7 linked regions of the Callithrix jacchus genome follow. The protein of the gene in region 1 interacts with the protein of each later gene in a pairwise test. Links are inferred from orthologs where the notes say so. Each region holds a gene or a part of one and is shown in the gene's direction. Other genes may lie near its edges. The genes, in order: PSMA1; keratin, type I cuticular Ha8; PNMA1; KRT15; HSD17B14; CEP70; PNMA2.

Region 1 (3,500 bases):
TTTTACAAGTCACTCAGTAATATATTTGTTAATGCAGTGTATATTGTTTGATACCATATTATGTCTAAGAAGAGCTTGATACTTTTATCTGGTTTCTAAGGACAAGCTGAACCGTACTTGTTTTTTTTAATACATCAGTATTTAGTAGACATTTTTTTTTTTTTTTTGCAATGCTCAATACTGGATATTGCAGGGTATGCATAAGTGACTCAGAAATGGATCTTGTCTAAAGGAACTTAAAGGCAAGTTTATCTATAAATTCAAATCTAGTTTATAACAGATAAATTTCTGTGAGAGTCTGAGGAGACAGATTATGGTTGAAAGGCAATCCGTAAATGAAGAGGTAGGGCTTTGAAATCAGACAGATTGAGTTCTCGCTTTCACCACTTAGTATCAGATTGGGCTAAATACCTAAACACTGAATTTTTTTCCAGTGTTTTCTTTATCAAAGCTATTTTAAAATACTTTTTTATTTATTTATTTTTTTTGTGACAGAGTCTTACTCTGTTGCCCACACTGGAGTGCAGTGGCACAGTCTTGGCTCACTGCAACCTCTGCCTCCCAGGTTCAAGTGATTCTTCTGCCTAGCCTCCCAAGTAACTGGGATTACAGGCGCCTGCCACCACGCCTGGCTAATTTTTGTATTTTTTAGTTGAGACATGATTTTACCATGTTGGCTGGGCTAGTCTTGAACTCCTGACCTCAGGTGATCCACCCACCTTGGCTTCCCAAAGTGCTGAGATTATAGGGGTGAGCCACTGCACCCAGCCTATTTTTAATTATTTTAAATAGCCTACTGTAAAGCATTAACACAGTGCTTTTCAGGTATTATGTGAGTGTGTTGTGGGTGGCAGGTAGTTAGCCAAAACCAATCTCTTAAATTTGTGAATTTGATTAGGAAAGAAATAATATAAATTATAAGGGTGGGCCTGGCACAGTGGCTCATACCTGTAATCCCAGCTCTTTGAGAAGCTTAGGGCCAGGAACTTGAGACCAGGGTAATGTAGCGAATCTCCATCTCTACAAAAAATTTTAAAACTTAGCTGGTTGTGGGGCCGCGTACCTGTTGCTCTTAGCTATTCAAAAGGCTAAGGTGAGAGGATTGGGTGAGTCCATAACTTTGAGGTTGCAGTGAGCTATGATAGTGCTACTGTACTTAAGCCTAGGCGATAGAGTGAGACTTTAGTCTAAAACAACAGCAGCAGCAAAAGCAGTGTAAATAGTGATGCCATTGTTTAAGAATTTAAAGTTACTCAACCAGTCCCTTGCTCTAAGTTAGCAATATAATGACACCCTAAAGGGTTTCCACCTACTCCTCAAAGTGGAAAATGTATTATATTATCAAACACTTTATTTAACCCAGTTTATAAAGTATTGCCATGCCAACACATAATCAACATGAAAACTTCATTCATGAGCTATTGCACGTTCTTAGGTACTAAGTCTTTGAAACTTGACATGCTATTTTGTACTTGGAGTACATCTCAATTCAGTATAGCTACTTTTCAAGGGCTCCACAGCCACATGCAATTATTGCCTGCCATATTGGGCAGTATACTTTTAGACAGTGTTGGGAAATGGACTTAAATATAAATACTGAACAAATAGCTTGGTTCCTGTAGTCAACATGTGATGATCAGATGTGATGTACACATATGCTGGACAAAGCAACATTGAAAGAAAGGGGCATATTCATTTCTTGTTGATCTTTATAGGCATGAATTCTCTTTTCCCCAATGGTAACCTTGCTTGAATTTCATCAGATTTAATGGTGAGACTCAGCGGCTAGTGTCCAGTATCTCCTCTAGAGTGCTTCTTATGAATATAAGTAACAGTGGCAGGTACATGTAAAGATGCCCTCTGCTGTGATTTCTATTTTTTACAGTTGCTCTATTGGGGAAATGTTAGTCTGCTTTCAAGAAAAAAGGACAGAGTAGATACTCTATGCTGGTTTAAGACCTAGAATTAAGACAAACTTGTTGACAGTGGTAAGGATAAGAGAAGAGGGATTACTCTTTTTCTCTTGTTCAACCTTCTCTTCTCTGTTCTGTAAGTGCTTTAAGACAAATATTTCCTAGAGCTAAAAAATATTTCAGTGTTTTTTAAAAACCTTGCCAGGCGTGGTGGCTTATGCCTGTAATCCCAGCCCTTTAGGAGTTAGAGGTGGGTAGATCACAAGGTCAGGAGATCGAGACCGTCCTGGCCAACATGGTGAAACCCCATCTCAAAAACAAACAACAACAACAAAAAACTTTATGTGGCTCCAGAGTTTGACACAAAAATGTGCCCCCGCAGGCATGTCTTTCTTACCTTCTGTCTTCATTATATGGTTGTGATCCATGTAAACGCTTGGAAGAATGCAAAGTGAAATCAAACAATTTAGATTGGAATCGTTGTTTGTAATTTGAGATTACTAAACTTTTTTTGTTTCTTTCAGTAATTTTATGCGTCAGGAGTGTTTGGATTCCAGATTTGTATTTGATAGACCACTTCCTGTGTCACGTCTTGTATCTCTAATTGGAAGCAGTATCCTTTTTATGTTAATATTTATGGATATGAACTTTGAAGCGTTTTGATATTTGTGTTAATTATCATAGGAATATGATAATAACATGACATAGGTAAGATTGTGAAAACTTTAAAACAATTTGGGTAGCTCTTTCATTAGCCTGTATAAGCAATTTATATTTGCTAGACATAAATAAACCCAACTTCAGGGAAATTATCCAAGCATCTTTTTAGAGGGGATTTAAAGTTTCTCAATGGTTCTAGATGTCCCAAGAAATCCCAAGTTTTACCTGGGAAGAATTATTTTGCTGGCACTCTTAGATTTGGTAGAAAGGCAAACATTTTATATTAGGCCAAAGATAGAGAATCCTATTTTATTCTTTCTCTGGTGGATTATGCAACAATTAAGGAAGAAGCCAGAAACCTTTGTTAATAATGTATACTTTGAAAATAAAGATAGTATAGGCCGGGCACAGTGGCTCAAGCCTGTAATCCCAGCACTTTAGGAGGCTGAGGCAGACAGATCACCTGAGGTCAGGAACTCGAGACCAGCCTGACCAACATAGAGAAATCCCCTCGCTACTAAAAATACCAAAAAGGCATGGTGGCACATGCCTTTAATCCCAGCTACTCAATAGGCTGAGGCAGGAGAATTGCTTGAACCCAGGAGGTGGAGGTTGCAGTGAGCAAAGATCGTGCCAGCCTGGGCAACAAAAGTGAAACTCCACCCCGTCCCCACCAAAAAAAAAGAAAGTAAAGAATAGTTCATTCCTTGTTAAAACAAGCTCTTAACTAGTCTAAGAGACCCAGATACCAACACAACGATATGGCCGGAGACCTTATGGTGTTGGGCTGCTTATTGCTGGTTATGATGTAAGTTCATTGATTATTATATTTTAATGATTTTTTTAACTAACTAGAAATTTTTATAATTTTTAGCTCAACCAAAGTAAATAATTATGTGGTGTATTTATTTCTGTTTGTAGGATATG
Region 2 (4,198 bases), on another chromosome or scaffold:
CTTGTATTTTTAAAAAATTTATTTATTATACTTTAAGTTCATTCTCAGCAAACTGACATAGGAACAGAAAACCAAACACCACATGTTCTCACTCACAAGTGGGTGTTGAACAATGAGAACACATGGACACGGGGGAGGGGAGCATCACCCACTGGGGCCTGGGAGGGTGGAGGGCTAGGGGAGGAATAGCAGGGGGTGGGGGGATTGAGGAGGGATAGCATTAGGAGATGACAGGGTGATGGATGCAGCAAACTGCCACCATGGGGCGTGTATACCTACATAACAAACCTGCACGATCTGCACATATACCCCAGGGCTTCATACTTTATAGTGAGGTTGATCTTAGAAAAACGACTTTACATCTCTGGTCTCAATGGCTTATTTATTTATGTTGTAAAATTAAGAGTACCCACCTCCCAGGTTGGAAGCAGAGATGAAAAGGTGTCATTGCTCAATCCCCTAGCACATAGGGTGAAGGTTCATAACTAACTTTAGAACCAAGGAGGCAAGGCGTGAAGAGGGCCCACTCAACATCCCGATCACGCAACTTCCTCCTACTTTCATGGCCACGTCCTTATTTGAGGTTCAGTAAGATTACTGCTCATTTCTTTTTGTTTGTTTCTGGCTTCTTGAGCTTGCCCTGTTTGGTCAAGATAAATGACAGTTTTCGGAGTCATCCTCATTCTCACGAGCTTCTCAGATGCCTTGTTTGAGACATCATGTCTACACAAGTTACAGTTGTTTCCCAACGGCAGGAACTGTTCCGTGCTTAACCAACTATATGCCAAGCATCAGCACAGTGCCTGGCATTCAGGATGTAACCAGGGGATGTGTGTTGTGAACAGATTTGTCTAAGTCTTGTTGCTCCTCAAAGTGAGTCTGAAGGGCAACCAACTAAAGAAAGAAGAAATGTAGGATGTCTTGATAACCCAATTTAACACCATAACATTCACCAATACCAAGACTCAGTTTCTTCCCTGGATAGGGAAGGCTGGTTGAGTCTTAACCCAAGTGAGCACCACTGTCATCACAGGGGTTAGTCCTGCTACGCCACTGACCAACAGGAAAATTTGTGCCTTTGGAGTGGACAAATCCATGAAGAGGCCAAACCCTGTCAAAGTCTAAGCATCTGATGGCTAAAATAACTTGGTTTCTTTAAAAAATAATAAAAAGCTTCTGACTCCCCCCACCAAAAGCCAACCTGATATCAAAGAGCCAAGAGGCATCTCAGATTCGTCAACATTCCTTTAATGAGCTGAGAAACGTTTCATGGTAAACTCAGCAGCTGAGTAACAGGATGATGGCACCACAACAGATAATCAAGGCAGGAGGTCAAAGCATTGGAGCCAACACCCACCCGGGATGGGGTATAAAAGGGCCGGGAGGAGAAGAGGCTTCAGACTTAGTGACTTGGCCTTTCCAGCTGATCTGAAGCTCCTGTGCAACCTCAGCCCAACACCATGACCTCCTCCTACAGCAGCTCCTCCTGCCTTCTGGGCTGCACCATGGGTCCTGGAGCAAGAAATGCCTCCGTCTCTCCCATCGACATTGGGTGCCAGCCCGGGGCAGAGGCCAAGGCTGCCTCCATGTGCCTCTTGGCCAATGTGGCACATGCCAACCGAGTCCGTGTGGGGTCGACTCCCCTGGGCCGCCCCAGTCTCTGTCTACCCCCCACCTGCCACACTGCTTGTCCCTTGCCAGGGACCTGCCACATTCCCGGCAACATCGGAATCTGTGGGGCCTATGGTGAAAACACCCTGAATGGCCATGAGAAGGAGACCATGCAGTTCCTGAATGACCGCCTGGCCAACTACCTGGAGAAGGTGCGACAGCTGGAGCGGGACAACGCGGAGCTAGAGAGCCAACTCCGTGAGAGGAGCAAGTGCCACGAGTCCACCGTGTGCCCCGACTACCAGTCCTACTTCCGCACCATCGAGGAGCTCCAGCAGAAGGTGAGGTGTGGGAACGCCTGGGCGTGCTGGGTCTGAGAAGCCAGACGGCTTCTCATGGCAGGAGGAATCCATGTCAGGCTCAGGGAGCTTTGGGTTCTTGGCTTCTCTTGGATATGAGCATAGACACCACACGTGGAGTGGGAGCCTAAGGTACGATGCTTTGTGTGTGAACCATCTTCCTGTTTTCCTCAGATCCTGTGCAGCAAGGCTGAGAACGCCAGGCTGATTGTACAAATCGACAATGCCAAGCTGGCTGCCGATGACTTTAGGATCAAGTAAGTCCGGTGCAGGAGGCCAGGATGACTCCTTCCCCATCCTCCATCCCAATGCCCAAATACTTGTTGAGTGAGTGAATCATTGTCCTTTCTCCCTTGCTAGATTCTCCCCAGTAAAAGTTTCATTACAATCAAAATGGATAGAAGATGGAAGGGAAAACCCTTCATTAATCCAACCATGTATGTTTTTCCTCCTTCATTTATTTCCCTAACATGGAGGCAGCCTAAATTCATTAGCCAGGAGCAAAATGAGGTGATTTCAAGGATAAACTGAGCAAGACAGCCATTCATTTTCATATATAAGTCAGAGGAGTCATAGATGAGTCTTCGTCCAGATTTAACTATGCAGTCCTAGGGTACTAGGTATGAGATACTTAGGAAAAAACCAGAGGGGAAGACAGTTGAAAGCAAGGGATAAGGAGCTGTGGATCACAACCGGGCACCTGGCTATTGCTTATCTTTGGTAACTGACGGCCACTGCAATGGAATGAGCATTGGACTGGGTCCCAAGACACACGATCTTAGGCAACTCAGTTGATCTTAGTGAACCGCAGCTGCCACAGAATACAATGGCAAAAATGTATATTGTGCAATGTAGTGCTGTGATTGTTTCATCAGACCACCAGCTCTTTGAGAAGAGGGGCTGTGTCTAATTCACCTTTGAGGCCAGAGAGCTAAACAGAGTGAACAAATGAGGATCCAAGGTGGTGTGGGAGGTGGGAACCCGGGGCAGCCGAGAGGGGCTCTTGGTGGAATTCTTGTTGACCCTGCACCTCCTGTGACTGAAGGCTGGAGAGTGAGCGCTCCCTGCGTCAGCTGGTGGAGGCGGACATGTGTGGTACGCAGAAGCTCCTGGATGATGCGACCCTGGCCAAGGCCGACCTGGAGGCCCAGCAGGAGTCCCTGAAGGAAGAGCAGCTCTCTCTCAAGAGCAACCATGAGCAGGTACAGCCCTGGCCGCTCAGACTCCTGGTGTGGGGGGCGGGCAGTGCTGGGCAGATAGGGGAGCTCCCTGGCCCTGGGGCTCTCAGAGCAGAACCTGGGCTCAGCTGGCATCAGCATGCAGGGCTGAGGTGGGTCTGAGGGTTCAGAGGGCCTCTGTGGAAGGTGCAGACTTGCCTTGGGCACAAGGAAGGCATCCAGGTGGGCTCTCCCGACTGCACTCTGGGCAAGACTTTCCCATTTGCTTGTGTATGGGGCTCCCCTCCTACTGCTTGCCAGGGGTGGGGTCCTGGTGCTGTCTGCTCCATCAAAGGCCCTCTCCTCACACAAACTGTCTGTGCCTTCCTCCCTTCTGCAGGAAGTAAAGACTCTGAGGAGTCAGCTAGGGGACAAGATCCGGATCGAGCTGGACATTGAGCCCACCATTGACCTGAGCAGGGTGCTGGGGGAGATGCGGGCTCAGTACGAGGCCATGGTGGAGACCAACCGCCAGGACGCGGAGCAGTGGTTCCAAGCCCAGGTGAGCAGGGGGTACAGAGCCGGGGGACATCTGGCCTCCATCTGGGCAGGGAGGTGACTGTGCCTCTCTGTGCTCCAGTCTGAAGGCATCAGCCTGCAGGCCATGTCCTGCTCTGAGGAGATTCAGTGCTGCCAGTCGGAGATCCTGGAGCTGAGATGCACGGTGAACGCCCTGGAGGTGGAGCGCCAAGCCCAGCACACCTTGGTACGTGTCCTTCACCCTCACTGCACTGCAAACGCCACGTGCCACGGCCTGATAGCATTTAATTTTGTAGGTCTCACTATCTAGGTTTCTCCCATCTGCAAACTCGTTGATTGTGAATTTCTTTTTTGTCTTTATTGTAAAGATCAGGTCAAATTCAGAAACACAGCTTAACAAAACAATCTCTCTTTTAAAACATATTTAAGAAAAGGCATTAAATGCACCAAAATTTACTGAGTTCTAATTTTTTTGGGGGTATTGCAAATATAGAGATGAATAACGTGAAGCCAATTAAATTTTGGGGGCAG
Region 3 (4,292 bases), on another chromosome or scaffold:
CTACCCCTTCTGCCTCGCCCCTCTCCACCCCGGCACCAAGTCTTTTGCTGCTTATGTCTAAAGGGATCGCCTATATTTAACTGCCTCAGTGACCTATCCTCTTTCTTCTCATGTGCCAGATGTTAAGACGAAGGAGGAATACAACACATACTCAAGCCTCAGCTGTTTAGTTGTTTTCACTGGGGCTCGCTTTTCTGGGATGGTATATATTATCAGACTGGCAAGCCTAACTCCATAGGTTTACAGGAAGTAGGCATATTTTTATAAAACAATTGTGTCCTCCCCACATTTTGCTATGTTAATATTTGCCTCTAACAATTTGCAGCTGTTTCACTTTTTCCTCATTTGTCTCTAAGTTGAAGGCCTTGTTGGAAGGGACAGCACAGGAACAGCCTTGACAGTCTGTAATTATTGTACAAATATTTTAATAGCATATAAATAAGTATATTCCTTTTATTTTGAAACAAATGATCAGACACTGCCTTTTTTGTGTTTGCTGCCTGTGGCACCCTTTTTTAAAAAGACTGTTACATATTAAAATAGTGTACATATATATATAAATATTACCTCTTTTGCTGTACAGTTGTGATAGAGACTGAAGATTTTATTTTTTGTGTGCTTTTTATAAGAAAAAAATTAATACACTAAAGAATCTTGCTGATGTGATTGTAATGTACCTATGTAACTTATTTACTTTTGAATGTTCTTCTGTATCTTTAAACCTTTTATTAAATAAGGTTTTAAAAATTCAGAGTTGCATGCTGTGTTCTCTGGGATTTTCACCATCTGGGATTGATGTAAGTGGGTCTTGTCTTGCTTGCACAAAGATTACTCAACATTTTCGAACCATACGGATTCTCTTTTAGCAGCCTATTGTCAATGATGCCAGCCAGGAAAAGGGAAATAACATATTAATGTTTACCTGGCTAAAAGATGACTGAGTAGACATAGACAAACATCTTTTTTACAAAATTTTAGACAAGAAAAAGGCAACTCCGTATCTTACAAAAATATACGTAAATGGCACACGCCGACATTTTGGCTGCGTTGGGATGAAATATGCAGGGTGCAGAGTGTGGTTGGGGGAACAGGGAAGCTACGGTTCTGAGGATATTCTCACGTGCAGGGTGGACTGGCTGAGCAATCTGAGATGAGTCCACCATGAGGGATGCATTTCCAACAATATCATCTTAAGTCCACTCCAGGATTGGGTTATTTTTAAAATACGGTGCTTAGCAGTCTTTGTTCTCTGTTTAAAAAAAAAAAAAGAAGAAGAAAATTACGCCATCAGAGAAACAGGTGCCCGGGGCACCATGGTAACCGCTGGACTCCGCCCCACCCCCACTCCCCCGCCCGCGGTGGGCCGCCAGAGCAGACGAGTCTCGTGCAGGCTGAGAAGCCGTTGCCATGGCGACACCCGAGCGGCTCCGCCGCGGGGGCGTGACGGAGTGGGGCAGACGCCGCTCACGGGCTGGCCCCACCCTTCACTGCTGCAGTAACATCGCCGCAGGTTGCGGGTAGGACACTACGTCTGGGTAGCAGCGCAGTGCAGATCGTTGCGGCCGCCGCTGCTCATCCTCTCTTCTGCTGTCTCCAGCCCAGCTTCGCCAGCTCTCCTGCTCCTCTGTTGCCTTCGTTTCTGGTCCTCGGCGGTCCTCGCCACCCTCCCGGAAGAGTCCCTGCTCCTGCCAAGAAGCCGCTCTCAGCTGGCCCGCAGCCGCCGCGACTTCGGCACAGTCTGCCTGTGCCGGGTCTCCCAAACGACCTCTCCTCGCCCTCGGAAGACCGGGCTGCGACCGCGAACGCCAGATCCTCTCTGGGAGCCGCCGCGAGCGCCCGACGACCACACCTCGGCGGTTCTCGGCCCATCGCGCCTGCCTTCGCCGCCCGCCTTCGCTCCTTGCCCGCTCCACGACGACGCGACGCCTCGGCTGCTGGCAGCGGACCCGGACCCGGACCCGGACCCAGACGCAAGATGGCGACGGCTGCGTGACTGCCTCAGCGTTTCCGAGCTCGTCTCCAAGTGCGTCCACTGACTGACTGTGGGGGCAGGGAAGGGCGAGGTCAGGACTCTGTGTCTTTGTTAATCGTGACTGCGTGAAACTCGCCTCCCTTGGGCCTACTTGGGGGGAGTGTCTGGCGTTGTTCTAAGGCCAGGAGCAAGGTGAGCCACTGTCTGTTGGTAGAATTAGCGTCTTGATAGTTGACAAAATGGCGATGATACTGTTGGAAGACTGGTGCAGGGGAATGGATGTGAACTCCCAGAGAGCTCTGTTGGTCTGGGGCATCCCAGTGAACTGTGATGAGGCTGAAATCGAAGAGACCCTCCAGGCTGCGATGCCCCAGGTGCCCTACCGAGTGCTTGGGAGAATGTTCTGGAGGGAAGAAAATGCGAAAGCAGCCTTATTAGAGCTCACTGGCGCTGTCGATTACGCCACGATCCCCAGGGAGTTGCCGGGCAAAGGAGGAGTCTGGAAAGTGTTCTTTAAGCCCCCGACTTCCGATGCTGAATTTTTAGAAAGATTGCACCTCTTCCTAGCTAGAGAGGGCTGGACCGTGCAGGATGTTGCCCGTGTCCTTGGGTTTCAGAACCCTACTCCGACCCCGGTCCCAGAGATGCCAGCAGAGATGCTAAACTATATTTTGGATAATGTTATTCAACCTCTTGTTGAGTCCATATGGTACAAGAAGCTGACACTTTTCTCGGGGAGGGACATCCCAGGGCCTGGAGAGGAAACCTTTGATCCTTGGCTGGAGCACACTAATGAGGTCCTAGAGGAGTGGCAGGTGCCAGATGCAGAAAAGAGGCGGCGGTTGATGGAGAGTCTTAGAGGCCCCGCCGCTGATGTCATTCGCATCCTCAAGACCAACAACCCCGCGATAACTACTGCCGAATGCCTGCAGGCGCTTGAGCAGGTGTTTGGGAGCGTTGAGAGCTCTAGGGATGCCCAGGTCAAATTTCTGAACACTTACCAGAACCCGGGAGAAAAGTTGTCTGCTTATGTCATTCGTTTGGAGCCTCTGCTACAGAAGGTGGTGGAGAAGGGGGCCATTGATAAAGATAATGTGAACCAGGCTCGTCTAGAGCAGGTCATTGCCGGGGCCAACCAAAGCGGGGCCATCCGAAGGCAGCTGTGGCTTAACGGGGCTGGGGAAGGGCCGGCCCCAAACCTCTTTGAGTTGCTGGTGCAGATCCGTGAGGAGGAAGCCAAGGAAGAGGAGGAGGAGGCTGAGGCCACCCTTCTGCAGTTAGGCCTGGAAGGGCACTTCTGAGTCCCAGGAAAGGCAGCTTTAGTGCAGACCCAGATCACAGCTACTGTCCTTGTCCCTGTGGGGTCTTACAGATGTGTCTGAGTAGTAAAGGCTTAGTCCTGTTACATTTGTTTTTGGAGGGCAGGATTTGTCAGGCCTGAGTATTCATGTAACATTCTAAAATTGTGCACGCAAGCACTGTGAGCTGCTAGCGGATCTTGCTGGCTACAATGCCGTTTACCTGGTTGGACACAGAGCTTAGTGCACGCGGTCATCATGGCCATCATAATCAGTTGTGAAAAACGTGTGAACCTGTGACACTTCTATTCCACGTTGAATGTGAAATTGCATGTTCAGATGTTTACTGCGGGGCCTGGCTCACAGGAAGTGTTCAGTAAAAGTGTGAACTGTTAGATTACTGATATTGTGGATAGTTTTCTGTCTACCATAACTTGTTCCAGATTTTATTAATGGAAGGGAATGTGCATTTATTATGACTCAACCTTACAATGTAAACGTACTATTTCTCATCTTTAAACATGTGGATCAGTTTAATTGAAAAGTATTCTGATACTGCAAAATGGGATGTTAAAAACTGCAGTTACGGAGCTGTGTAACCCATTTTTCACTGCATAAGATACAGATGTAAATTGCATGGAGAGGTTGATGTGCACCTGTTAGAGTAATTCACTTCCCCAATTTCAAATCTTTGTCAGAAAATAGTTCTTGTTCATACTAATTCTGAGTGTTCTAAATTTGAAGTTACATACAGAAATAAAAATGTTTTTCGATTTCTGTTGTCTTCTCCTTTTGCTGGCATGTACAAACATCTTTAGCCTAAGTAAACTCTGTCCATTTTTCTTATGAAGACTGTCATTAACTCAAACCATATGTTTTACTTACCACAGACACTCAGCATGTCTTCACCCACTACCCATCATTCACAGAGCTTTCCCCTCCATTCCCACCAGCATCAGGTGCACACTCACCCACCTCCTACGCTCTACACATTCACTGCCATCTCCCACTCAGTACTCCCA
Region 4 (3,951 bases), on another chromosome or scaffold:
CATGGGGCCAGGTCCAGAGGGCCGAGCCACACCTCCAAGTGGCATTGCCCACAGGTATCAGGTGTCCCTGGAAAGGTTTTCCTGAGCTGGTGGCAGAGAAAAGGGCTCTCCTGAGTGTTCAACTCCCCCATCTGTGTGAAGTGATGCCTTGGTCTTTGAGATCTCCAGTGTCTTCCAGCCTGCCTGCCAGCCTCTTGTCCTTCCTTCCACAGCACTCAGGTACATAGAGCCTTCTGCAGTGGCTCCTCCCCAGCCAGCACTTGACAGGACAGATGGGGGCTAATCTGGCCCTGCTAAGCAGTGACATGCCTCTCTTGGAGAAGGCAGGGGCTTCCTGGAACTCGCCCCAGCCTTATCAGCGGAGGTTTGCCCCAACGCATCCCAGAATCGAGCAAAAGTTCAGCGACGTGCAGCTGGCAGGTGTCGGGATCATCAATCATCCCCTTGTCAACCCTGAGCCTGCTGGGCTTTTGTGAGCGTGCCAGGGACACAGGCTGGAGGCTGGCAGGAGGGGAGTAGGGGTGGGAGGAGGAGAGTCCCTCTCCCACACCAGGGAAGGGACAAATGCTGGCTCCTCTGGTCACTTCAGCTGGACCCTGGCTTCTGTCCTCTACTTGCCCCCAGAGACGCTGCATTCCCATTCCCAGAGGCCTCCTCACTCACTCACTCACTCACTCACTCACTCACTCACTCACTCACTCACAGGATTTCGAGTTGGATAACACAGCGTAATGATTGGGAAGTGGTAACTCCCAAACTGAGAACACAGAGCTGTCCCCTTGGGGAAAAGCTCAGGGCTCGGGGCAGTGGACAAGTCCAGCTGAGGGCACAGTTGGCCTGAGCTGCTCTCTGTACAGGCAGAGGCCTTGGTAGCCGTTCGCTCCCTGTTGCTCTCTTCTGGCATGGAGAGATGAACCTGTAATCCAAGTGTTAAAACGGTGCCCTGGGGGAAAACACCATTAATTCTGAATCATCTCTTTTGTTGCATTAGAAAAAAAACAGAAGAGAAAAACTTCACAGGAGCCACTCAGGGTGTGCAGGCAGCTGTGTTTGTCAGGAAGGCAGAAGGAGTTGGCTTTGCTTTGGGGGAGGAGACCAGGTCCCACAATACCCTTAGAGGGGTATATAAGGAGCCCCAGCTGGGGGGTGGCAGATGCCCTGCTCTGAGTGCAGCCTGGCCCGGCACCTCCTGCCAGCATCTCTTGGGCTTGTTGAGAACTCACTGGCACTGGCTACCTGGCCATGACCACCACATTTCTGCAAACTTCTTCCTCCATGTTTGGGGGTGGCTCTATCCAAGGGGGTTCCCTCCTGGCGAGGGGAGGGGGCTTTGGTGGGGGGAGTCTCTATGGGAGAGGTGGAAGCCGAAGTATCTCAGCTTCTTCTGCTAGGTTTGTCTCTTCAGGGTCAGGAGGGGCATATGGGGGTGGCATGAGCAGTGGCTTTGGCGGAGGGGCTGGTAGTGGTTTCAGTGGAGGCTTTGGAGGTGGCATTGGTGGGGGTTTTGGTGGTGGCTTTGGTGGTGGCGATGGTGGCCTCCTCTCTGGCAATGAGAAGATCACCATGCAGAACCTCAACGACCGCCTAGCCTCCTACCTGGACAAGGTTCGTGCCCTGGAGGAGGCCAATGCTGACCTGGAGGTGAAGATCCGGGACTGGTACCAGAAGCAGGCCCCGACCAGCCCAGAACGTGACTACAGCCACTACTTCAAGACCATTGAAGAGCTCCGGGACAAGGTGAGTCCTCAGATGTCAAAGAGAGGGGAGCAGGTGGCTGGCGCCCTGCACATGCCTCTAACGTCAGTGTCGCTGCTGACTCGAGAAAATCCTTTCCTGCCCAGGCAACGACTGTCTGGTGTGTAGCCTCAGCAAATTTGGAATGCACCTGCTGTCCAGTGCAGAGGCTGGTGTTGGGGGAGGGAGGGAGGGGTCTTGGGAATCTGGTTAGGACCAACGGGGGCACAGTTGGGGGCAATTGTAAAGAGCAGCTTGCCGGGTGCAGTGGCTCACACCTGTAATCCCAGTGCTTTGGAGGCCAAGGTGACAGGATTGTTTGTGCCCAGGAGTTAGAGTCTCAGTGAGCTGTGGCTGTGCCATTGCACTCTGGCCTAGCTACAGAGTGAGAACCTGTCTCTAATTAAAAAATAATAATAATAATAATTAAAACGAGCAACTCACCCTGCCTACCTCATGTACGCTGCAGGCTTCTGCATAAAGTATTTCTTTATCTCTTTGGCAAGAAAAGGATTGGAGTGCAGCCTCATGAGTCCCAGATGCCTCTTGTGTTTTCCTGTAAAGAGGGCTTTTGTGCTAAAAGTACTGTTGGGCTTCAGAGACCTGGGAACCCATTACCCATTCTGCCACCCACTCACTCACCGTTTTACTCCCTGAGACTGGGTTCCTCATTGGCAAAATGCCTTCTTTAGCTGCCCTCTAGGTTGCCACTGGCTGGAATGTTCTGCAGATCCATGGCTGTGTCAAGGTGTGCAGGAGGCAGTGGCCATGACTTGGTCCACGGGGGGGCTGGTGGAGTGTCTCTGAGAGGGTCATTGTCAGAGCTGACTACACCTCACTCTTCACTCTCTGGGGCTACCAATTCCCATAGGCAGTACTGCCTCCTTGGTCTTTCATGCCCTGGAGACAAGGAGGGCAGCTCCTCAGGTGTCTCAAGGAGGCTGGCATGTGGCAGAACAAGAAATGGACACTCAAGATGAGGCTGGACTCTGCCCACCCCAGAGGCCCTACAGATGTTTGCTGGTGGTGACTGTTAGTGAGGGGCTGGCTTTGGGTGCAGAGCAGAGAGCAGCAGGGGAGAGAGAGGAGTCCTCTAGGCACCAACTCTGTCTCCTGCAGATCATGGCCACCACCATTGACAACTCCCGGGTCATCCTGGAAATCGACAACGCCAGGCTGGCTGCGGACGACTTCAGGCTCAAGTGCGCTCCCTCCTCCCTCAACTCTTCCTGCATTGCCCACTTTCCTTGGTCTTCTCCTGGCTCTGACTCAGGCGGCCCAGACCCCTCCCACTTCCTTTTTTGGCCTCCCTCTCTCCTCTCAGGTATGAGAATGAGCTGGCCCTGCGCCAGGGCGTGGAGGCTGACATCAATGGCCTGCGCCGCGTGCTGGATGAGCTGACCCTGGCCAGAACTGACCTGGAGATGCAGATCGAGGGCCTGAATGAGGAGCTGGCCTACCTGAAGAGGAACCACGAGGAGGTGAGAGGTGGCCCCCATCATCCCTGAACCTGAGAGAGGTGGGGAACCTCTTCCCAAAACGCACTTAAATTGCCCAGAGGGAACGACTTTGGCTCCAGGAAGCCCTCCCAGATTTTCCCAAGATTAAGTTGTGGGAGGCAGAGTGGGGCTGCCGGTGCTTCCTCATAGTTGGCCTGGGGCTTAGTGGTTCAGAAACACCCCCCTTGCCCCCAACCAGGTATCCTCATGGAGAGGAAGGGGCACTGTTCCCTAGTAGCCCAGACCACAGCCAAGCCGGGTGGCTAGTATGAATGGCTATCTTCCTGACTGGCTTTGTGAGCTCACATCAGGGGCCTGCCATCTCGGGGTCCTCCCTTGGTAGGACCTAGAGCAGCAGAGAGCTCCTCGGAGCTGAGGGGTCCATGAGACCAAACCTCTTCGTGTGCAATGGGGAACAGCGGTTGGGGTGTTAGGGGAAGAGCCAGGATTGGCATGTGGGAATGCAGACTCTCAGGTCTCTCTTCTGTTCTCCATCTCTAAATGGGCCCCTTCCACCCTGCAGGAGATGAAGGAGTTTAGCAACCAGCTGGCCGGCCAGGTCAACGTGGAGATGGACGCGGCACCGGGCGTGGACCTGACCCGCGTGCTGGCGGAGATGCGGGAGCAGTACGAGGCCATAGCGGAGAAGAACCGCCAGGATGCTGAGGCCTGGTTCTTCAGCAAGGTGGGCCTGACCCTTGCCCTGCCCTGCCCTGCC
Region 5 (4,046 bases), on another chromosome or scaffold:
GGAGGGGTCTGGGGGCCGGTGGGAATTTTTTATCTTGGCGAGGAAAGAGTTGGGCAGGGTTTGGGAGTTTTAGGTCTCATTCAAGAGGGAACTGGGTTCTGGGACACTTGAGAGGAGGGGAGGAAGCGGTCGGGGGCGGGGAGAGGGCCGACACCTGAGTCTCAAAGAGGACTGGACTGAGGTATCCAGACTCCTGGGTCTGAAGGAGGAGGGGCCGGAGGCCTGGACTCCCGGGTCTGAGGGAGGAGGGGCCTGGGAATCCGGAGTCCCGGTGCTGAAGTTTGCCATTCTCATGTCCTACTCATCCTCTCCAGGTGGAAATTTGGACTCCCAGGGAGACCCTCTCTCACGTGTGCCGCTCTCTCCGTCGGACCCCACGCGCCAGGAGACCCTTCCCCCCAGATCTCCCCCGGTGGCTAATTCGGCTTCCACCGGGTTCTTTCGCGGAGGCAGTGGGCGTGGAGGAGGCCCCGCCCCCTGGGGGCCCACGTGGGATGCCGGGATCGCCCCTCCGGTCCTGCCCCAAGACGAGGGGGCGTGGCCTTTGCGCGTCACTCTTCTACAGTCCAGCTTTTAACCCTCCCAAATGCGGCAGCCAATTGGAGCGTGAGGACGTGACCGGAGGTACCGCCGCAGAGATGTGGGACCACTCAGGGCATCAGGGGGCGTGGTCTGGTCCCTGTCGCCAGCCCGGGACGGGAATGGTTTCTATGGCCAAAGTTTGGTTTTCTCAACACTGTCTAAATTTGGATTAAAACTTTGAACTTGTAGTCAATAACTTTGTTTCTCTCTGTTGGGGGTTGTGGCGCTGGAGTCTCTGATGGGCAGAGCCGGAGTTGTGGACTCCTGGGTCCTGAGAGAGGAGGGGACAGGGGCCTTGGACTTACAGGTCTCTGAGAGGAAGGGATGGAGAAGCTGATCCCTCAGTCTGAGGGAGGAGGGGCTGGGGGCCTGGACCCCCTGAATCTGAGGGAGGAGGGACTGGGGTCTTAGGGAGGAGGGGAGTGTCTGAGGGAGGAGGGACTGGAGCTCCTGGATTCCTGAGTCTGAGGGAGGAGGGGAGTGTCTGAGGAAGGAGGGCCTGGAGCTCCTGGATTCCTGAGTCTGGGGGAGGAGGCGAGTGTCTGAGGGAGGAGGGACTGGGGACAAACCCAGGTTTCCAGCCTTCCTGGCAACACCCCCCGGGGCCGGACTTCCAGGATCCAGCCCCTGTTGATGGTTTGATGCAACGCTGTCACGGGGCTTTGGAGGTAGACAGAGGCGCAGAGTAGAGAGACGGACAGAGACCGACGGACACGGGATGGCCACGGGAACGCGCTACGCCGGGAAGGTGGTGGTTGTGACCGGGGGCGCGCGCGGCATCGGAGCCGGGATCGTCCGCGCGTTCGGTGAGCGGGGTCTGGCCGCTGGGAGCTGGGGAAGGATGGGGGCTGGGCAATGGCGGCGGAAAATGGAGACCCCAGTAATACAGCTGGGATTCTGACCTTACAAAAGCCCATTTGCAGGCTAAAGTAAGCGCGTGCCGCGGTAGGCTGGGGCTGAGTCTGGCGAGGTCTCGGAGGGCAGTGGCCCCCTTTCTCTGGGTCTGTTAGTGAAGCTGCAATACCAGTGGCTTGGGGAATGGCTCTGGCAGTCGTGGGGCTGGCTCTGGAACCCACGAACGGGGGCTCAGGAGCCTCAGCAGAAACCTGGCCAGGCAGGGAGAGCATGTGTCAAGGGCTCTGCCCTCTGCCCTCTGTCCTGAGGGTGATCATGAGACTGGGGTCACGAGGAGAGGGGAGAGGGAGAGCGACCCCACTCCAGGTGGCCACCAGAGGGCGGCAGAGGCTTGACCCAAGGCTCGGAGGGTCACCTGTTCCCTTCCTATTCTCAGTGGACAGCGGGGCCCAAGTGGTTGTTTGCGACAAGGATGGTGAGTGATGGTCCCTCAGCCCTCACCCCGGCCCTCTTCCCTCAGACCCAGGGGTCCAGGCCCCAGCTGCTCCCTCAGATTCAGGGGGTCCAGGCCTCCAGCCCCTCCTCCCTCAGACCCAGGAGTCCTGGCCCCAGCCCCTCATCCCTCAGATTCAGGGGTCCAGGCCCCAGCCCCTCCTCCCTCAGACCCAGGGGTCCAGACCTCTAGCCCCTCTTCCCTCAGATTCAGGGGTCCAGGCCCCCAGCCCCTCCTCCCTCAGACCCAGGGGTCCAGACCCCTAGCCCCTCCTCCCTCAGATTCAGGGGTCCAGGCCCCCAGCCCCTTCTGCCTCAGACCCAGGGGTCCAGGCTCCCAGCTCTTCTCTCACTGCAGAGTCTGGGGGCCGGGCGCTGGAGCGGGAGCTCCCTGGAGCTGTCTTTATCCTTTGTGACGTGACTCGGGAAGACGACGTGAGGGTGAGCACAGTTCCTGCTCCTGCTCCACGCCTCCACTAATTGCCAGTTCTTTGTTCTCCAGGCATCCGCATATGCCGTTCCCTCTCCTTTTCCTTCCTCTCCTGGCTCCACTGGACCCATCAGAGGTTTCCACCTAGTGTCACTCCACACATAGGTCTTCCGTGATTGGCAAGCAGGTCATGTGTTCCTCATCTCCCACCTCTCCAAGGCTCTTAGCACATCTGACATGTGAATGGAAATGAATAAAAAGTCCCTCAAAGTGGGTCAACTGTAACGGATTTTTCTTTCTCTTTTGTTTTTTTGGAGATGTCACCCAGGCTGGAGTGCAATGGTGTGATATCAATTCACTGCAACTTCCACCTCCCGGGTTCAAGAGATTCTCCTGCCTCAGCCTCCCAAGTAGCTGGGATTGCAGGCGCTTGCCACCATGCCCAGCTTATTTTTATATATTTAGTAGAGACAAGGTTTCACCATATTGGCCAGGCTAGTCTCAAACTCCTGACCTCAGGTAATCTGCTCACCTCTGCCTCCCAAAGGGCCCCCAGCCCCTCCTCCCTCAGACCCAGGATTCCAGGCTCCCAACTCCTCCTGGGTTGGAATTCCAGGTGTGAACCACCGCACCTGGCCTGTAACCGATTTTTCTCCCTTGTTTCTGTTTCTGGGTTCCGATTTCCTCCTTTTCATTTTCTTTCTTTTTTTTTTTTTTTGAGAGGGAGTTTTGCTCTTTGTTGCCCAGGCTGGAGTGTAGGGGTGCCATCTCGGTTCACTGCAACTTGCACCTCCTGGGTTCAAGCCATTCTCCTGTCTCACCCTCCCAAGAAGCTGGGATTACAGGCGCCAGCCACCACAGCTAGCTAATTTTTGTATTTTTAGTAGCAACAGTGTTTCACCATGTTGGCCAGGTTAGTCTCGAACTCCTGACCTCAGGTGATCCACCCACATCAGCCTCCCAAAGTGCTGGGATTACAGGTGTGGGCCACTGTGCCCGGCCCCTATTTCTTCCTTTCAATCAGTATCTCTCTGTTTCCTGCCCCACTTGGGTAACTGTCTCCTACTCTCTATCTGAACCCTTGTCAACCCCCACCCCCTGACCTTGGAATGATGACTGCACTGTGGCTCTGACCAGCTCCCTGTCTCCTTCCTGTCTGCTACTCGCCTGCCATGTCTGCTGATCTCGGCACTCCCTCTTCCTCTAGCTCTTGTCCCCTGAGCTGGGAGTCCAGCTTTCCCCTCCTGCCTTGCATTTGGCAGCCCTGTCTGCCTTATGGCTGGACACCTCATCTACTGCTCATTCAAAGGACATTTCCTGGGTAAGGTGTGGCGCCTGTAATTCCAGCACTTTGGGAGGTTGAGGTGGGCAGATCACCTGAGGTCAGGAGTTCGAGACCAGCCTGGCCAACATGGTGACACCCCCTCTCTACTAAAAAATATAAAAAATTAGCCAGCTGTGGTGATGCCCACCTGTAGTCGCAGCTACTCAGGAGGCTGATGCAGGAGAATCACTTGAACCTGGGAGGCAGAGGTTGCAGTGAACCAAGATCGTGCCACTGCACTCCAGCCTGAGCAATGAGGAAAAAAAAAAAACAAAACCAAAAAACAGAAAACAAGAAAATGAAAAAATCAAAGAAAATTTCCTTCCTCCTCAGACTCTGGTTTCTGAGACCATCCGCCGATTT
Region 6 (3,500 bases), on another chromosome or scaffold:
GAACATCTTTTTCTTAGCTTTGTAATACTCTTTTATTCTGAAGCAAAAATGTATTAGATTGGGTGTGCTTTTTTCCATAAATTACTTTATAAATGTGCCTTGTAGCTGGAGCATTGATTAATAAAGGGGTCATTATGCTGTTGCTTACTGACTTTTTTTTCCTCCCAAATTCTAGTGGCACTGATTGTAAAACATTCATTTGACACAGAATGTATTGCTGTGAATTACTAAAATAGGTAACTGTCTTCCTACCAAACGAAAGGTTAAAGATACCAATATGTGAAGTGTGAGCCTTAAGTGGAGAGTGTCAAGTGAAGTACTAAAATAAGTTCGAAAAAGGAAGAATTTCTTGTACTTCTTTCTGTTCTCTAGAGCTGTGCTGTCTTGTATGGTAGCCTCTAGCTGTATGTGGTTATTGATCTCTTGAAAGGTGGCTAGTCCTAATTGAGATGCGTTAGAAGTATAAAATATACACTGGATTTAGAAGACTTCATATGGGAAAAATTGAAATATTGATTTTATATTGAAATGATAATATTTTGGATATATTGGGTTAAATAAAATATTACAGTTAATATCACATGTTTCTTTTCACTTTTCATACTATGGCCCTAGACAACTTAAAATTACTGTGGCTCACATTACATTTCTTTTGGATAGCATTGTTCTAAAGGACTAAGCACTGTTCCATACATATATGAATTGAGTATCCCTTATCTGCAGTGCTTGGGGCTAGATTAAGAATTTTTTCAGATTTTGGAGTATATGCCATTTGAGCATCCCTGATCCAAAAATCCAAAATTCAGAATGCTCTAATGAGCATTTCTTTTGAGTGTCATGTTGCTCAGAGTTTCAGATTTTAGAGCATTTCAGATTTTTGGATTAGGGTTCAGTAAGTATTTGTCGACTGACCAGTCTAGAATGCTAAACTTCCAGTAGCCTTGCCCATTGTGCACAGTTTAAAATCACTTAGGGCATCACAGCTAGGACAAGAAAACAGAGTATTGTAAAGTAGAATACATTTAGAGAACCTTTCACATTGAAAACCTGCCTGGAGGTACATGTTATAACATTATGCTAAGTGAGAGAAGCCATTCATAAAAGACTGCTTATTGTATAATTCCATTTATGCAAAATGGCCAGAATAGGCAAATCCATAGACACAGAAAATAGTTTAGAGGTTATCCCCTGGAGCTGTGGGAAAGGAAAAATGAGGAAGGAAGGACTGTGAGTGGGTCTGAGATTTCTTTTTGGGGTAATGGATATGTTCTGAAATTAGATAGTGCTGATGTTTGTACATGTGTGAAAATATTAAAACTGAATTGTATACTTAATGAGGGTGAATTTTATGGTATCTGAACTACATTTCAATAAATCTGTTATTCAAAACTAAAATACAAGGGCAAGTTTATTCTTTATGTATCAACAATTCAAAATAACAAAATAACATGAAACAATAATAAATAATATAAAATTACTTAGAGCACCCAAATGCAGAATAATCAATATGTAATGTTTTCTGTAAAGCCTATGTTTACCTGGAGAAACCTAATTTTAACTGACTTGTTCTAAATTGGTAATAGTGTTATTAAAAAATACCAATGATGGTTACATATATATATATATTTTAACCTGCCTATATAATGTTTTATTAATTTTATAAAATACATAAAACTTATAATTTTATTAATTGTGTTATATTACTATAGAAATTATTTAAATCAATAATACCATATAGTTTCTTTTGTTATAAAGGATTTGTATAAGTCCTTGAAAACACTATCTGCAGAACTGGTACCTTGGCATAATCTGAAGAAGCAGGATGCAAATGAAGGTATCAAAGTTGAAGATTTGTTATTTATAGTAGATACTATGTTGGAAGAAGTTGAAAATAAAGAAAAGGTAATAATACTTACATAAATGGTCACATTCTAATGTACTCTTATCTTAAAAATTGATAATTTGATGTGGATATTAATATTTGTTCTACAAGAGTTCTGTTTTTCTTTTAAAAGTTTTTATTTGGGATTATTTTAAGATATGAACTCTTTCTTTTTTACCTCTCTTTTGGACAGGACAGCAATATGCCAAACTTTCAAACTTTGCAAGCTATTGTCTCTCACTTCCAAAAATTATTTGATGTGCCTTCTTTAAATGGAGTCTATCCTCGAATGAATGAAGTTTATACTAGGCTTGGAGAAATGAACAATGCTGTGAGAAACCTCCAAGAACTCTTAGAATTAGGTGATGACCTAATTTGTCATTTTTGGCCCCCATTTAAGAATTGTTTTTAATAAATTAACAAAAAGTAGATAAAATTTTTCTTAAGTAAAAAAAATTGAGGATAACTGAAGCATAAAATGTTTGATGTATGTAATTTTGGAAATTTTCTGTTGAAATATCCTTTTATTTCTCTTTTGCAGATAGTTCATCTTCATTGTGTGTGTTGGTAAGCACTGTTGGAAAACTCTGTAGGCTGATTAATGAAGATGTGAATGAGCAGGTTATGCAGGTATTAGGACCTGAAGACCTCCAGAGGTACTCATTTCAAAAGTTTACAGAGTATCATCCAGAATGGCCAGGTGTGGTGGCACACACCTGTAGTCCCAGCTACTTGGGATGCTGATGTGGGAGGATCACTTGAGCCCAGGAGTTTAAGTCCAGTCTGGGCAACATAGTGACAGCCTGTCTCTAAACAATAAAAGAAAAAATAAGTATTGTCCAGAATTCATGGAGGGGTGAAATTAAAGACTTTCAAAACTCATTTACCTTCCCTATTTGGAATAGCATCTTTTCTCTGTGTGTGTTTGTGACTGTAGGCACACACCACCATGCCCAGCTAGTGTGTGTGTGTGTGTGTGAGTGTGTGAGTGTGTGTGTGCACGTGTGCAGGTAGAGAGACAGACAAGTTTTCACCATATTGCCCAGACCAGTCTCAAACTCCTGGGCTCAAGCGATCTGCCTGCCTTGGCCTCCCAAAGTGCTGAGATTACAGGTGTGAGCTACTGTGCCCAGCCTTGGAATAGCATCAATTTTTTTTTTTTTGAGACAGAGTTTCGCTCTTGTTGCCCAGGCTGGAGTGCAATGGCGCGATCTCGGCTCACCGCAACCTCTGCCTCCTGGGTTCAGGCAATTCTCCTGCCTCAGCATCCCGAGTAGCTGGGATTACAGGCACGCGCCACCATGCCCAGCTAATTTTTTGTATTTTTAGTAGAGACGGGGTTTCACCATGTTGACCAGGATGGTCTCGATCTCTTGACCTCGTGATCCACCCGCCTCAGCCTCCCAAAGTGCTGGGATTACAGGCTTGAGCCACCACACCCGGCCTGGAATAGCATCTTTTAAACAAGTTGACAACCTAAGATAATCTCACACCCTTTGGGACGAGAAAATGCCAAGTATTTAAAAAATAAAAATAGATTGTAGGGCTTATAAAGGTCAGGAACTCTTCAGCATAATCCTGTTCTCAGGAAATATTATATATGGAGAAGTTCAAACCT
Region 7 (3,138 bases), on another chromosome or scaffold:
AGCCGCAGGACCTCCCAGGTGAGGTACCTGAAGACCTATCAGGAGGAAGGAGAGAAGGTGTCGGCCTATGTGTTAAGGTTAGAAACCCTGCTCCGGAGAGCGGTGGAGAAACGCGCCATCCCGCGGCGCATCGCGGACCAGGTCCGCCTGGAGCAGGTCCTGGCTGGGGCCACTCTTAACCAGACGCTGTGGTGTCGGCTCAGGGAGATGAAGGATCAGGGCCCACCCCCCAGCTTCCTTGAGCTAATGAAGGTAATACGGGAAGAGGAGGAGGAAGAGGCCTCCTTTCAGAATGAGAATATCGAAGAGCCAGAGGTAGGAGATGGCTATGGCCGCTGGGATCATGAGGGGGAGGACTGAAAACCACCTGAGTGCAGGACCCACAGCCAGTGGGCCCAGGGACATGCGCCTTACTAGGCTAAGACTTTTAAAGAATCTTTTTCTTTAATGTATGGGACTGATATCAAGGCATGAAACCCAATTATTGACCTTCCTTCCTTCCTTTTTTTCTTCCTTCTTTCTTTCCTTCCTTCCTTTTTTCTCTTCCTTCCTTCCTTCCTTCCTTCCTTCCCTCCCTTCCTTCCCTCCCTTCCTTCCCTCCCTTCCTTCCCTCCTTCCCTCCTTCATATTTTTCTTTTTTCTGTCTTTCTTTCTTGGGTCTCACTCTCATTACCCAGGCTGGAGTGCAGACACACAACAATCTTGGCTCCCTGCAGCCTTGACTGCCCAGGCTCAGGCTCAGGTGCTCCTCACACCTTAGCCTCCCAAGTAGCTGGGACTACAGGCATGCACCACCATGCCTAGCTTTTTTTTTTTTTTTTTTTTCTGTATTTTTAGTAGAGACAGGGTTTTACTATGTTGCTCAGGCTGGTCTGGAACACCTAGGCTCAAGCGATATGCCCAGCTCAGCCTCCCAAAGTGCTAGGATTACAGGCCTGAGCCACCATGCCCAGCCCCTGATTTTTCTTTTTTAAAAAAATATAGCTACGAGTTTCTTAGACTCTATGTAGATTATTAATGAACAAGAGATTAGACTCCAAATATTAGATAGTAAATCTGAAGGAATCTGAAACACTTGTACTTCCAATTTTCTTTAAGTAATCCCAAGTAGACTAGAGTTGGCCCATACCATACATAGAAGAAAGAATTGGCAGTCAAAAACAAACAAACAAAAAAAACCTTTTGTAATTATGTTTGAAAAATAAAGCTATTTGACTTTGTCAGCTGTTTTCCTTTCTCAAATCAGCAAATTCTGAGTCCAGAAATTCTCTCTCTGTACGAGGAGTTACAAGACTACAGCTCTAACCTGCAGTCGAGCAGTTATAAACCTACAAAATGGGCCCTGCCCTCAGAGTGGTTCCAGTCTACATGAGAAGATGGTCTAGACAGGTCAGGTGTCAGATAGATGGTCCCAGAACTAGGTGCTGTGTCAGGCCCTGAAGACACAGATGACTCAACCTAAGCTCTGCTTTCAAGAAGTCCCCAGCCTTGGAAAAATACAAAATAATTTTTGTATTTTTAGTAGAAACTGGGTTTCACCGTGTTGGCCAGGCTGGTCTTGAACTCCTGACCTCAAGTGATCCACTCACCTCAGCCTCCCAAAGCGCTGGGATTACAGGCATGAGCCCCTGCACCCAGCCTAAAGTCTTTGACTTTCTAGTGAATAACAGCTAGATTAAAATGGGCTGATAACCAAATTTGGGCACATTAGCATTCACCACCAGGTTTGCTTTTGTTTCCAGATTGGCTCATTTTGTGTAGACCTTGGAGCAAAGCTTCCTTCATGGTATCTGTGTACGTATCCAAACTTCTTTTAACTGTTCATAGATTTAAAAGTAGTGGCACCACGTGGGTGTTTAGATGAGACCTGTGTATGTCATGTATCACGTAAGTGTGTGAGTGCAGTGCAGAGGCGCACCATTCAGTTATACGTGCTAGGCGAAGCTCCAACACAATGGACGTATAGTCTCGTGGTAGATTTGCGCATACTGCGAGTAAATTGCTTAGCTTATCTAGATAGACGTCAGTTTCCGCCTCTGAAAAATTAGAAGATGAGAGTACACAGTTGTTAGGAGGATCAGATGACTCAATGCTTTTTAATCACTTCGCATGACATCTGGAACACAGAAAGCCCTCAGTACATTGACACTAAGATTTCCGTGATGTTCCTATCTGCTCAATGCATGCCTTCTTTATTGTTCCAACAGTTGTGTGCTAACAAGTTAATATGCTCCCAGTTGACTCCCAGGCTACCTTGGTGTTAGAAACCATTTCTGCTCTTACTGTAAATGTGAGCTTGTTGTTTTTATATTTGTGATGAGTCTTCCAGCAGCTGTTGACAATTGTTAGAGGTTTGACTTTTAAATAGTCACTTATTTTTTCTGATTGTGGTTTGGTTTATCTAAAGAATATCCTGACATTGTAAGAAAAGCATTTTTTAAAAGGTATCATTTGTGATCAATTATCTTTCTAAATTGTAGTTTTAATACTGTCTGACCAAAGTGATACAGTTGTTACCGTGACACTCTGATTTCATGTGTTTTTGTATTTATGAAAGTGGTCTCTTGTCATTTCTTGACAGTATACAAAGTAAAATGTTATAAATGTGAAGTTATAAAATAAATATATCCTAATAGAATCCTGAGTTTTTCTGATTCGTAAATCGTGGCCTGTACAAACTACTACTTGAAGAAGGAGCTCCATCACTGAAAATTTTTGAGAGATAAGTTGAAAAATCAAGCTAAAGCCAAATGTCTTGAACTCCCCTAGGCAAGAAAACCTGAAAGCAAAAAAATGATTGAGTAAGACAAGAGAGAGCTCAGTCCCCCATTATTGATTTCTCTTTTAAAATAGATAGAAACAACAGAGGGAGGCCAGGTCTCTCAGAGACTGCCAACTCATTTGCTTAGGAAAATAACTGTACAGATAAATTCCCAGGCTCTATTCCGCTTAGGGTGAATGACCCTTAAGGCAGAATATTGCTTTTCTAGGCTGAAGTCCCTCCCTTTTTTTCCCTGTTTTTTTTTTTTTTTTTTTTTTTTTTGAGATAAGGTGTCACCCAGGCTAGAGTGTAGTCACACGATCATGGCTCACTGCAAATTGCCTACCAAATTTGAGTGATTCTTAGGCCTCAGCCTC

What was found.
Region 2: the proteins of PSMA1 (region 1) and keratin, type I cuticular Ha8 interact in binary tests that used the Homo sapiens proteins (3 or more experiments, as listed by UniProt). The two-hybrid records come from large-scale screens. The link is inferred for Callithrix jacchus from reciprocal best matches to the Homo sapiens genes PSMA1 and KRT38.
Region 3: the proteins of PSMA1 (region 1) and PNMA1 interact in binary tests that used the Homo sapiens proteins (3 or more experiments, as listed by UniProt). The two-hybrid records come from large-scale screens. The link is inferred for Callithrix jacchus from reciprocal best matches to the Homo sapiens genes PSMA1 and PNMA1.
Region 4: the proteins of PSMA1 (region 1) and KRT15 interact in binary tests that used the Homo sapiens proteins (3 or more experiments, as listed by UniProt). The two-hybrid records come from large-scale screens. The link is inferred for Callithrix jacchus from reciprocal best matches to the Homo sapiens genes PSMA1 and KRT15.
Region 5: the proteins of PSMA1 (region 1) and HSD17B14 interact in binary tests that used the Homo sapiens proteins (3 or more experiments, as listed by UniProt). The two-hybrid records come from large-scale screens. The link is inferred for Callithrix jacchus from reciprocal best matches to the Homo sapiens genes PSMA1 and HSD17B14.
Region 6: the proteins of PSMA1 (region 1) and CEP70 interact in binary tests that used the Homo sapiens proteins (3 or more experiments, as listed by UniProt). The two-hybrid records come from large-scale screens. The link is inferred for Callithrix jacchus from reciprocal best matches to the Homo sapiens genes PSMA1 and CEP70.
Region 7: the proteins of PSMA1 (region 1) and PNMA2 interact in binary tests that used the Homo sapiens proteins (3 or more experiments, as listed by UniProt). The two-hybrid records come from large-scale screens. The link is inferred for Callithrix jacchus from reciprocal best matches to the Homo sapiens genes PSMA1 and PNMA2.

Annotation. Positions count from the first base shown.
Region 1 is NC_133511.1:80,384,758-80,388,257, reverse strand, and holds part of PSMA1 (proteasome subunit alpha type-1), read left to right. Parts: intron 1-2,437; coding exon 2,438-2,526; intron 2,527-3,310; coding exon 3,311-3,381; intron 3,382-3,494; coding exon 3,495-3,500. UniProt on the Homo sapiens protein: Component of the 20S core proteasome complex involved in the proteolytic degradation of most intracellular proteins. This complex plays numerous essential roles within the cell by associating with different regulatory particles.
Region 2 is NC_133506.1:91,819,993-91,824,190, forward strand, and holds the start of keratin, type I cuticular Ha8, read left to right. Parts: upstream 1-1,398; 5' UTR 1,399-1,460; coding exon 1,461-1,952; intron 1,953-2,144; coding exon 2,145-2,227; intron 2,228-3,015; coding exon 3,016-3,172; intron 3,173-3,527; coding exon 3,528-3,689; intron 3,690-3,767; coding exon 3,768-3,893; intron 3,894-4,198.
Region 3 is NC_133509.1:108,629,448-108,633,739, reverse strand, and holds PNMA1 (paraneoplastic antigen Ma1), read left to right. Parts: upstream 1-1,492; 5' UTR 1,493-2,211; coding exon 2,212-3,273; 3' UTR 3,274-4,043; downstream 4,044-4,292.
Region 4 is NC_133506.1:91,738,016-91,741,966, forward strand, and holds the start of KRT15 (keratin, type I cytoskeletal 15), read left to right. Parts: upstream 1-1,151; 5' UTR 1,152-1,242; coding exon 1,243-1,737; intron 1,738-2,853; coding exon 2,854-2,936; intron 2,937-3,058; coding exon 3,059-3,215; intron 3,216-3,756; coding exon 3,757-3,918; intron 3,919-3,951.
Region 5 is NC_133523.1:42,680,588-42,684,633, reverse strand, and holds the start of HSD17B14 (L-fucose dehydrogenase), read left to right. Parts: upstream 1-1,246; 5' UTR 1,247-1,300; coding exon 1,301-1,388; intron 1,389-1,873; coding exon 1,874-1,912; intron 1,913-2,287; coding exon 2,288-2,370; intron 2,371-4,016; coding exon 4,017-4,046. Other genes in the region: PLEKHA4 (pleckstrin homology domain-containing family A member 4), read left to right, coding at 315-577. UniProt on the Homo sapiens protein: Catalyzes the NAD(+)-dependent oxidation of L-fucose, yielding L-fucono-1,5-lactone, which rapidly converts spontaneously to L-fucone-1,4-lactone. Can also act on D-arabinose and L-galactose, with lower catalytic efficiency. Does not use NADPH.
Region 6 is NC_133518.1:45,829,728-45,833,227, forward strand, and holds part of CEP70 (centrosomal protein of 70 kDa), read left to right. Parts: intron 1-1,755; coding exon 1,756-1,902; intron 1,903-2,075; coding exon 2,076-2,244; intron 2,245-2,423; coding exon 2,424-2,538; intron 2,539-3,500.
Region 7 is NC_133514.1:15,068,845-15,071,982, forward strand, and holds the end of PNMA2 (paraneoplastic antigen Ma2), read left to right. Parts: coding exon 1-360; 3' UTR 361-2,638; downstream 2,639-3,138.